Caenorhabditis elegans: one gene and its partner. The protein of the gene in region 1 purifies or fractionates together with the protein of each later gene. This does not show direct contact. Each region holds a gene or a part of one and is shown in the gene's direction. Other genes may lie near its edges. The genes, in order: lin-31 and lin-1.

What was found.
Region 2: the proteins of lin-31 (region 1) and lin-1 purify together in Caenorhabditis elegans (affinity purification with western blotting, with the first as the bait; one study listed by BioGRID). This does not show direct contact.

The regions. Positions count from the first base shown.
Region 1 is NC_003280.10:3,980,624-3,987,699, forward strand, and holds lin-31 (Protein lin-31), read left to right. Parts: upstream 1-1,925; 5' UTR 1,926-2,030; coding exon 2,031-2,197; intron 2,198-2,831; coding exon 2,832-2,913; intron 2,914-3,249; coding exon 3,250-3,330; intron 3,331-3,705; exon of another isoform or gene 3,706-3,897; intron 3,898-5,460; coding exon 5,461-5,844; 3' UTR 5,845-6,406; downstream 6,407-7,076. Other genes in the region: K10G6.5 (Serpentine receptor class gamma), read left to right, coding at 6,915-6,973. UniProt on the Caenorhabditis elegans protein: Lin-31 regulates how vulval precursor cells choose their fate. It helps specify three alternative cell fates in vulval development.
Region 2 is NC_003282.8:2,297,239-2,302,052, reverse strand, and holds the start of lin-1 (ETS domain-containing protein), read left to right. Parts: upstream 1-1,766; coding exon 1,767-1,790; intron 1,791-1,835; coding exon 1,836-1,923; intron 1,924-4,814.

The DNA.
Region 1 (7,076 bases):
CTCCCCAGGCAGGCAGTGGGGAAGAGATGTCCTTTATGAAGGAGATTGACGGGAGGAGGAGGAGGAGGAAACCGTTTTTGATTAACTGGTGGATGGCATTGCGGTTTTTATTCTTCCGTAAGGACAACTGGTTCTTTTTTCTTCTATTTTGATGTCTTCGTTTTGTCTTTACTGGTCTGTCTTCGAAGTTGCTGAGCTGATTTAGAACATTGTAAATTTGTAAGAAAATTGATTTTTATCAACATAATTACGAAGTATCACGTTTTACGTGTGTTTTTAGAGTTTTCAAGTAAAAAATTTGAAATCAGCGGTATTCAAAACCTAAACCTTTTCACGGGGACTCGATCCCTTGACCTTTTGCTCCAAAGGCATTGCTCTTACCCACTGAGCCATCCGTGGCGCCGTTTTCTTAGGGCGCCGTACCAAGTGGCGCAGTGGCTAAGAGGGACGACTTTGAAGCAAACGGTCATGAGTTCGAGCCCCCGGGAGTTGATTTAAATTTTCTGATTACGACTCGCTGCGCCCTAAAGGTCCCTTTAGCTCCCCATTGATCATTTATCCCAAATCTCATTTATAAAATCTTTGTCCCGAGACAAACCCAGTCATATTTAATTAGAATAATCACTACCCTTTTTTGATTCTCCCACATACAATTTTTTTAAACCGAGAGTACGGTAGGTAATAACAATTTATGGAGAAGAATATTAGGTGATGAGAATGGGTGTCTCTACTACTATTATATATATTACTTTATTCATTCATTAAATTATGGTGGTGGTGGTGACGATGAGAAACTTTACGGAATTTATGAGTGAAATTGTTCCAAAAAAGTGGTGAAGTGTCAAATGGAATATCTAACTGGGAGGGGGGTGAATAAGGACAATGGGGTTAGTGTACTCTCGAGAATATGGAATTAGAAAATGAGGAAAACTTGCAAAAAATGGAGCTTTGAAAAAAACTAGCTGAAAACATCCTTTCAGAGTTGGATTTTAAGATTTTAAGATTTCTCTAAATCATTGTAGTGAAATTTTCTACTGAGGTTTTCTAGTTTCTTTTTCATTTGGTATACATTTTTTTGTAGAAAATGTTCACCAAAACTTTTTTCGAATGCATAATAATTCAACATTTTCTATGCTTTTTAAATTATTTTTCTTGTTGCAGAAAACCCAAACTACCGTACTTTTTCACTAGGTGGTCTCCAAACTTTAATCCGTTATAACTCCACAAATATTTTTGATATAAAAAAGTTGTCAATTAACAAAATGTGCAAAATTTTATGACCAATATTTAATCAGTTGACAGTTTTTTGATATCTCAGGTAACCGCAGAGTTATGAGCGTTTGAAGTTGAAGCGTGCTCTAGGCTCTCCAGGTGACCCAAATATTTGAATATTTTAGTAATTCTCATGATTTTAAAATTGTCCAACAAAAATTCAAATATTGACACTAATTCTTCCCACCTAGACACCCCACCATTCCATGGACTAATCCCGTTAATTCGAACGCTTCCCCCCTACCGCTCTCGGTGTCACTCAAAATTTCAAACAAGTCGTGACAGTTCTCGGGTGGTCTGATACCAGTTTACCTACATTTTCAAAAAAAAACACAATCAACTCTTTCATCTTCAGTATTCCAGTGAATCCCGTCCCACACCAGATGCCCCAACTCAGCGGGGGCTGCGTGATACCCGGTCAGCAGCAGCACCAGCAACAGGAGTAACTGGTTCCTCCCAAATATAGGTTAGTGATGTGAATGTAAAACAAAGACTTATTTTTCTATTAGAAATGTGTTGTCATTTTCCTTATTACAAGTTGTTGCCTTTTTCCCTTACGGGCGGTCTCGGTAAGCGCTGTCTCCCCGTTGGCCAGCCCCGCCCACTCAACGCTCCGCCCTTCTTCTCCTTCTAAGGCTTGGCTTCTCAAACAAATTGACTTTTCCCAATCGCTAAGATTTCAATATATTTTGATATATTCCAAAACCTTCTTTATTAATTATCAATCCAAGCAAAACTCTATACATATTCCCTGAAAAATGCCAAGACCCGGAAAAGACTCGTACGATGAGCAGAAGCCACCGTACTCGTACATTTGGCTCACCTATATGGCTATTCAGGACTCTGACGATAAAATGCTCCCGCTCACGGAGATCTACAAATATATTATGGATCGGTTTCCGTTTTATAGGAAAAACACGCAGAGGTATGAGTTGGGGGTTTGAAAGTTTTTGAGCTCTAAGAAAATTTCTAGTTTTTCTAAAATTCCTGTGTTACTGAAACCCAAAAAAGGGGGGTTTTGTCAATTTTTCCAAGAATCCATTTTTTAAGGCCATTTTGTGAAAAATTTTCAAGTTAAATTTAACAAAAAAATCTGACATTGAAGTTTCCCTTTGTGACTGATTTTGCGTTTTAACAGAGCTTTGAAGATTGAAATGTTTTTTTTCTGAAATTTCGATATTTGTATTTCCATAGTTATTTTGCTTTGAAAAAATATACAAAATATGCTCAAAAACTCCAAATTTCATAGTTTTCAGTCCGGTTTATTTTGGGGTTTTTTCTCACTTTTATAGATTAGTTCTTGTAGTTTCCCCACTTTTATAAGAAAAATTATTGGGTTCAAAAATATGCAATTTTCAATGTTTTAAACAAAAAAAAGTCCTAGAAATATATTTTCGAAGTTTTCTCTTGATTTTTTTATAGTTAAAGTGACTTAAAAATATATGAAATTTCCTTTAAAACAAACAGAAAAATTCTCTAAAAAACTCAAAAAGTGTATTCATTAGTTTCAACATTTCAGAAAAAAAGATAAAAATCAGCTCAAAATGTAATGTTTTCAGGTGGCAAAACTCCCTGCGACACAACTTGTCATTCAACGACTGCTTCATCAAGATCCCAAGAAGAGCCGATCGTCCTGGGAAGGTAATATTTGTAATTTAAAAAAAAATAAAATTTCCGAAGTTATTAATTTAATTTTTAAAAACCTAAACAATTTGCAATTTTCAAAGATGAATTTCTAGCAAAAAAAAGTTACATACTATATATGGGTTTTTCCAAGAACTCGTTTGCTCTCTTTTTGTGCTCTTTTGCCCTCAATGAGCACATGCTCACTTTATAGAACCAACAAAACAACTACCGTAGTCCTTAGAGCTAAAGTAAATCTGCAACACTTTTTGCTCATTCTGCAATTTCCATGTTAAATCCTGTGATAATTTTTTTTCTAAATTTCCGAAAAAAAAACACCGTAAAAAATTCCAGGGCTCCTACTGGGCGGTGCACCCAAATGCCTCCGGAATGTTCGAGAACGGCAGCTGCTTACGGCGTCGGAAACGATTTCGGGTAAGTCTTCGGTTACTGTACTTATCAAATTGTGTAAATTAATGATCTTATCACTTCAAAGAGAAACGCAAAAATCTCCAACAAAAAAAAACGAAAAATTGATTTAGAGAGGGCGCGCGCGTGCTTCCCCCTTCACGATTTTGAGAGAGAAAGACAATTCTACAGTAATCCTCAAGGTTGGTCGATGACAGAAAAGGCGAGAAATTTGTTTTAAATACGATTGAGAGACTATTGGGGGAAGAGATTATGATGAACGGCTGCAGGATTGGATAAGACTTTGCAGATTTTGATGTGGGGTACTGTAGTTTAAAGGGAAGACTGTGAACAAATATTTAAGATAGTGTGGCTATGCGCAGGCTTAGGCTTAAATTTAGGTTTAGGCTTAGGCTTAGGCTTAGTCTTAGGCTCAGTCTCAGGGTTAGGTTTAGGCTTAGGCTCAGGTTCAGACTTAGGTTCAGGCTTAGCCTATTGCTTAGGCTTAGGCTTAGGCTTAGGCTTAGGCTCCGGCTTAGGATTAGGCTTAGGCTTAGGTTCAGGCTCAGGGTTAGGCTTAGGGTAAAGCTTAGGTTCTGGCTTAGGCTTAGACTTATGCTTAAGATTAGGCAATGAAGAGTACCTGTGTATTTGGTTCAGCCGAAATTGCGCAACTTTGAGAATGTACAAAATTCTTAAAAAATTGCAGAGTTGGAACTTTCAGAAATCGCAAATGCCTTCGGAGAATAGGAAGCTTCGGCACTGTGGTTTTGGTACTGACCTGCAATTTTCAAATCATTCTGCAAAGTTTTAAATTTGACAAAAATTTTTTATCAAAATGGTTTTGAAACGTTTATCTACATAGGGTAATTAACCTCGCCCCCCCCCCCCCCCCCCAAAATATTTTCAATTTTCACTCAATTTTACTCAATACAATTAAACAGTCATATTAAGATGAATTGACTTACGCGCGCGAAATACTCTCCTCCCGGTACTACCCAATAAAATGTGCCATCTGTTGCAATAGTTGTACTCCTACTACTTCTACGGGGGGGGGCAACAGATGCCTCCTATCCAATATTGTAGTGTTATGTTGAAATGAAAATGAGTGACTTGTGTCTGTGTGTGTATGATGAAGTAGTTAGAAAAGAGGACAAAGAAAAAGTAATAAGAAGTTGCAAGAGTTTGTTTGAGTGGGGTGAGCGGGGTTTGCACATAACTTTAAATTTTTTTCAACTATTCGGCTTGGGAACTCTACACCTATTGAAATATAAGGCTGTAGGCAAGCACTTAGGCATGTAGGTAGGAAGAACGGGGACATGACTATGCAAACAGGTATAATTCTGTTCCAATGTACTGTTCCAAATATCAAATCCTCCATACAGTCTGTCCTCCAACCACAAGCCCATTAAAATGACAGTCAGGCTGTCCAGCGGGGGGTCCCCCGCCGAAAAAGAAGGGCTGTCGCGGGGCGCTAGCTAATATGTGACACATATACATATAACTGTATCACTTGTACATGTACATAAGACGGATTGGAAACAAAAGTGATTCTCTTTGCCTATGGTTCATTCCATTTCGCGCAATGTTTTAGGTAGTACGGTAGATTAAATGGCCTTGGGGCGAGGAGGGGAGGACTAATCACTTGGAGGGGAAAGAAGAGGCAAGACAAAGATTGATGCGGTTTGAATTTAGATATTTAGGTGGTGGAGCGAGGTGTCAATGTTTGTCAGGTGCCTGATTTATTAGTATATGTACTTTAAGAGATGAATTATAGAAGTGCTGCAAATTTGAAAGGCATAACTGTAAGGTACCTTTTAAATTACTACCGGCATGTGGTGTCAAAGTGTTTCAGTTCGGTTTGATCTACAAAGAATGCTGGAGAAGAGACGCAGACTTTTTCGGGGCGGTGCTCGGGAAGAGCTGATTTACGTCGATTTACAGTTTTCCTCGTTTCTAGAATTTCGTAAATCGACACAAATCGGCTTTTTCCGCGCCCCGTCCTTTGGGTCCCGGGATGTCTCTGTCTCTTCAACTATCTACACTATCTGTACTGGTAATAGTGCATTTTCTAAAATTGAATCATAAAATTTTGCTGTAAAAGTTGAACGTTTTTTAAACACAGTTTTAAAAAATATTTAAAAAATTCAATTTCAGGCTCGCGGCGGCCAAGACGACGACGACGACGACTTCCACCACCCGGCTCCATCGAAAATCTCTCGCAAAAATCCTCTTCCACTGCTCCCGGAGCCCCCAATAACCCCACCACTCCTCTCCTCCCTTTTCCCAAATCTTCCACCATCACTCCCAAATTTCTGCCTGTTTCCTCCAGGCATGGATCCTACAAAATCGTTGCTTCTGAACCCTCTTTCCCTACTTTTAATGCCCCATTTCTTGAAAAATTCTTCGAATTTTGAGAGCTCGACTCCACACTCTGAAACATCGGAGATTTCTGGGTCGGGATCTTCATCGTCGAAGACTCCAACTCCTGAAGCTGGCTTCAACTCTTCTTTCAGTATTGAGTCGATTTTGAGCTCTTGAGCTTTTGAGCTCATCTCACTACCTTTTAATTATTAAAAAAATAATATTTTCATTAAATTGTGCCACACATTTTCCTGTTCATTTTCTGTCATCCTGTCTTTCTTTTCTTGTTTCTTAAGATTCGATTTTCTATTTCAATAATGTGCAAATGCGCTCTGTTAACCAACTAACCGACTAACCCAACCTAGCAGCCGACATTTCACGGGGCAAAACCTGTAAACTGTCGGCTGCTAAGCGGAGGACCTACTAACAACTGATATTATCAATGATAACATTCCACACATCCCAGCTCCCAATATTTCCATCGGTGTTAACTTTTTTCAGATTTTTTCTGAAGCTTAAACTTCAGAATGTCAATTCTGTTCTAAACCTAGTCCCTATACATTTGAAATTATTGATTTTCTAGATTTTTCTTCTTGTGATAAGTACTTCTTGTACTCTGTTCCCCAATATTTTTTGTATTGAATATAAAATATTTATTAATTTCCCAGGCTCTTTTTAGTCATAAACAACCAAATAACGTTTTTTTTTCTCCAAATAATGAAAAAGTTGCCAGTGGTTAGTTTGATTTTTTTTACTTGAAACATCAATTAAAAATGCCAATTTTTTCCAACGCTGCCGTAATTGTTGTTATCTTTGATATTTACCGTGACTCTCTCATATCAAATTTTTCCCGAAAGACTACAGAATATTCAAACAATACGAATGCAACGATATCGATGAGTCAATCGAAATTTGATAAATTGTTATGTCGAAATACTACGACTCCTCCTACAATTTGCGTATAAGAATAGCGTCCGAATTCTTATACATACGCTCAAAATTCTTTAAAAATGGATTCAAAAAAACCGTATAAATACTCTACTTATTGCTTTATTTTTCTCAATTGTATTCTCGTGGTGTTTCAACGGCATTTCGGTTTTTTTGCCACAATGGAATGTAGATGACACGGTAGATCAAGTTAGCCTTTTTCCGCTGGATTTACTGGTTAGATTTATCTTTATCTTTATTTCACTTGAATTAATCTTTAATTGAAGAACAACCCGCCATACTTCAGTGCGGTCGCATTGATGATGCTTCTTTCGTTTTGTGCAACTGTAGCTATCTCTATGTTTTACATTTTTTCTTTGTGAGTTTCTTTTTGAAATTTCTTGGCACGAGAACCAACTGAGTGGATATGCAAAAATCAGCTAGGCCCTAGGCAGGCAGATAATCTAGGCAGCCATTAACTC
Region 2 (4,814 bases), on another chromosome or scaffold:
TTGCAATACTAATAGGGAGTGCAAGACTATTAGGGAGTGCAATACTAATTTTCAGAACATTTTTCTGACTTTGAGCTTACTAGTTTTTTTCTGAAAAAGCTCGAATCTTATGTAAAAATTCAGAAAATTTGCTTTTAATTGTAACATATATAATAAGTTCAAAAACTTCAATCTCGTAGAAATGTTGTGAAAAACTGTTGCAAAATAGGCAAATTTTTTTGTTGAAATCCTGAAGTTAACAAGACGGGCCTGCAATAAAAAAGAGTAAACGCAAGGCTATTAGGGAGTGCAAGACTAATAGGGAGTGCCATACTAATTTTCGGAAGGTCTCCGAGGGGCAATACTAATAGGGAGTGCAAGTCTAATAGGGAGGCCATATTAATAGAAGATATACGGTATGTGAAAAACAATTTTTTAGTTGGCAATTTTCTGATAAAACCAATGTCAATCAAGATGTCAACTGATAAAGTTGCATAGGCTGCCAAAGTGGGTTCATTTGAGGTTCAATTGATGCACCATGTCGTTCCTTCTTGGACAGCCTATATCTCTATTTATTTTAATGCTAGTAATTTTAAAATGAGAAAATTATAGAAAAATATTTGAAAAATGTTTTGTTAGTTGTCAATTTCAAATAAAATCAAAAGACAACCAAGATATGAGCTGTCAAAGTTATGCAGTTAAATCCTCCTCACTTTAGAAGCTCTAATTTCAGTTGATTTTAAAAATATCAAAATATAGTAAACTAGAAAACTATAAAAAAATATGTGACAAACATTTTGTCAGTTGACAATTTTCTGATAAAACCAATGACAACCGAAATATAAACTGGTAAAGTTGAAGTTTTTTTTCGATGCACCATGTTCGTTTAATATGATGATTTTCTAATTTTCCAAAATAGTTATATATTGGCAAGTGGAAAAAAATTTGGTTTGTTTTAAATTGATTAATAATGTTAATTGCATAATTGTACAATATTTTGTCAGTTGACAAAAACAACCAAGTTTTCAAAGTTAAGTCTCGAGCAAGTTTCGGTTTCCTACGTTGTTTGGCGGGTTTTCAAAGAGTTTTTTGGGCAATTTCAGACAATTTTGAGCTATTTTGAAGTAAGAAGACATACAAAAACATTGCAGGTATTATAAAATAATTATCAAATAGCTAAAAAAAAATTCTTCATTACACTTAAACAACTTTTGAGCAGACCAACTTTTGTGATTTCCAATATATGATTTTACTTTTAAAAAAAATCTAAGACTAAACCATTTCCCTCAACTTTTAAATTATTCTAACATTAAACCTCTCCTCTTCCGTTTAAAATCGTATTAGCCAAGGGAATTAGGCCTTTGAAACTAAAACTTTTCCCTTGTGTCTTGTGTCACAACGCATTAAAATTTGAAGATATTAATAATTGTCCCACTTTCCACATACTTCATTCTTTTTTTATGAATTGTACAGTAGGCCTTTATGCCTGCCTGGTGCCTAGAGTAGGCATAAGGTAGGCATGAGATCGTAAAGTGACAGCAAGTTTTGCTCATATCTTAAAATTATCGTGTTTTTATAATGTAGATTCAATTCAACAATAAGTGAGCAAAAAGTGTTGTAAATTTCCGCATTTTACAGCCCCCCTCCCGTCCCTTGTTATCTATAGAGTCACTGAAAATAGTAGCCAGCTCGTCACTCATTGCCACGTCATCTTTCATCAGCCGCCGCCACCCCGTACCATTTTCCAGGTCAAAAGAAAGCGCCGACACTCTACAGTTTACACGAAAATGAATCACATTGACCTTTTGAAGGTTTGTCCACTGACTTCATGACTCCTAAATAGTATTCTTTTGCAGGTCAAAAAAGAGCCGCCGTCGAGTTCGGAAGAAGCCGAGGAAGAAGAATCTCCGAAACATACGATTGAGGGAATTTTGGATATAAGAAGTTAGTTTATTTTTTATAGTATTTGGAGCAAAACACACTTGCTACTAAAAGCAAATGTGCTCAATGAAGTTTGGCTCAAAATTGCTGATAGTGATTTTTATTTTGAATGAAAAATTTCACATTTTTCGGCAATTTGCTTATTGTGATTTGAACAGTCGAAATGTGAAATGAAAAATTAGGGGACATGGTGCATTGATTGGGCAACTTTGGCAGTTTATATTTCGGTTAATGTTTAAGATACGAAAAAATATGTAACTACAAAGTTATAGAACAACATATGAAATTTGTTTTGTTAGTTAAAAGTTTTTTGATAGAACCAAAGATAGCCAAGGAAAGTGGTGACAAAGTTATGCACCATGTTTGAACCTCTACACTTTAGGAGCACATATTTCGGTTCATTTTTAAAATATCAACATATAGTAAAATACAAAACTATAGAAAAATATGTGAAAAACAATTTTTTAGTTGACAATTTTCTGATAAAACCAATGTCAATCAAGATATCAACTGATAAAGTTGCATAAGCTGCCAAAGTGGGTTCATTTGAGGTTAATTTGTTGGACAGCCTATATCTCTATTTATTTTAATGCTAGTAATTTTAAAATGAAAAAATTATAGCAAAATATTTGAAAAATGTTTTGTTAGTTGACAATTTCAAATAAAATCAAAAGACAACCAAGATATGAGCTGATGCACCATGTTAAATCCTCCTCACTTTAGAAGCTCTAATTTCAGTTGATTTTAAAAATATCAAAATATAGTAAACTAGAAAACTTTAAAAAAATATGTGACAAACATTTTGTCAGTTGACAATTTTCTGATAAAACCAATGACAACCGAGTCAATGACAATGACAATGACAATGACAACTGGTAAAGTTGAAAGGATGTTCGAACAATATGATACTTTTCTACTATAGTGGCAAGTGGAGCTATTGGCACATTCTCAAAATATTTTACTAACTAGTCTAGTAGAACAAGTTTCAAACCAATTTGTTCTTCCTGCCAGACGGCTGAATAAACCGTAACGACCATGCTCTTCCACCTGTCGGTTGATGCTCAACTACTGATTCCTCTCCCTGCCACTTTTTTCTCTTTTTTTCTGAATTTAGTTTTGGTTTTTGCGGGTAAAATCCGATAAGAATTGATGAATGTGTGTCGCTTTGGGTAGAGCAGCTAATCCGTATTTGGTTTTAATGATGATTTGATGATTTAGTATGGTGTTTCTTTTTTCTCAAGTTTTTGAGTAGAATTTTCAAGAAATTTGTGAGAAAAATGACTTAAATTTTGCCAAAACATAGGGTATTTTTTAAAACTTTGAGCAGAATTTTCAAAAAAAATAACACGATAAAATTCAATTCTAAAATAATTGTCAAGACGAAATTTTCGGTATAAATCCAACTCCCTCTATACATATTTCCGCCTCACAGTACCGCAGGTCCCCCATTTTTGTTTGATTTCTACCGCATTTTCACACCCAATCACTTTTGTATATATATACATACGACATATGGTGTCAATTAATAAGTCGGAGGGGAGGGTGTGTGTTTGATACGTTTATATATTTAGATACTTCTTGTTGAAGAGTCAAGTTAAATCAAACCACATGACAATGTTTAGAGCTTTAAAGGTTCATAACTGGAACTATTGTTTTTATATCCATTTGCAAAACGTTACATTAAACACATGGCTGGAATAAAATACAACCTTTTGTCTTTACTATGCCACAGAGTCTGTAATAGTGTCCTCCAATAATTTAATGCATTTTTACGTGCTTTGCAATTTTTCTGAAAGTATCTTCAAATGGGTGAAAATCACTCATTTTGATATTCTTCTATACCTTTGAATTTTCTTGATATATATGCTTTACTGTTACCCCTAAAACCATCCCAACTAGCATCTGTTCTTCACTATTTACGGGTCTCTTGTCTTCCTTATCTGTTGTTATTGTTGTTGTGCTCTTTCGGAGCAGCTGAAGTTGCGGATTAAAGTCATCTGCGACCAAAATTGACGGATCGGAATATATGGCCGACAAAGAAGAGGTGCTTGAATGGGGTGAAGTGGGGGTCCTAAAAAGATCAGTCATCCGGAATGTTTTTAGGGTAGTATCATATGAAAAACCCCTCTACTCAATTCATATTAAATATTTTGTCAGCCCCTGAAACCTCTTTATCCAACAAGAAAACCGTACTAATGATAGGTTATATCGGAAAGATGTGGAAGGGTGGAACATAAATATTATTGCGTCTTCACGGATTTTTGTGAGATCATCATTTTGGAGATAACCAGGGGGGAAGGTCATCAAAAGGTGCGACTGATAGGCATCTGGTAGTGCATGATTCAGTTTTAGTAGTGTATTTGCTTTTTTTTGAGGACATGAGAAAAATTTAGGAAATTTTTGAACCCACCTTGAGAATTTTGGAATAACTGCTGTAGCCTCTCCTAGGGCTTCCACCAGGGGTGTGCGGCAAATCTCAAAATTTGCCGAGCTCGGTAAATTCGGCAAATCTCTTTTTTCAATATTTGCCGAGCACGGCAAATTCGGCAAATTCGGCAAATTCGGCAAATTCGGCAAATTCGCCGTGCTTAACAAACTCGGAAAAATTTGATATTTTTTTTATGTTTTTTGGAGCACCAAAACTACTGAATTCTTAACACACATCTGGTTTCTGAATAAGTTCCGCGTAGTATGTCTGTTTAAGCATCAAAATAGCTCAATTTTGTATCATTTTACTAAATTTTTGGCTAAAAAATCAATAGTTTTAGTCAAAATTGTACTGTCAAATTTTTGACGTGTGCGGCAAATTCGGCAAATTCGGCAAATCTACTTTTTTGAAATTTGCCGTGCTCGGCAAATTCGGCAAATTCGGCAAATTTGCCGCACACCCCTGG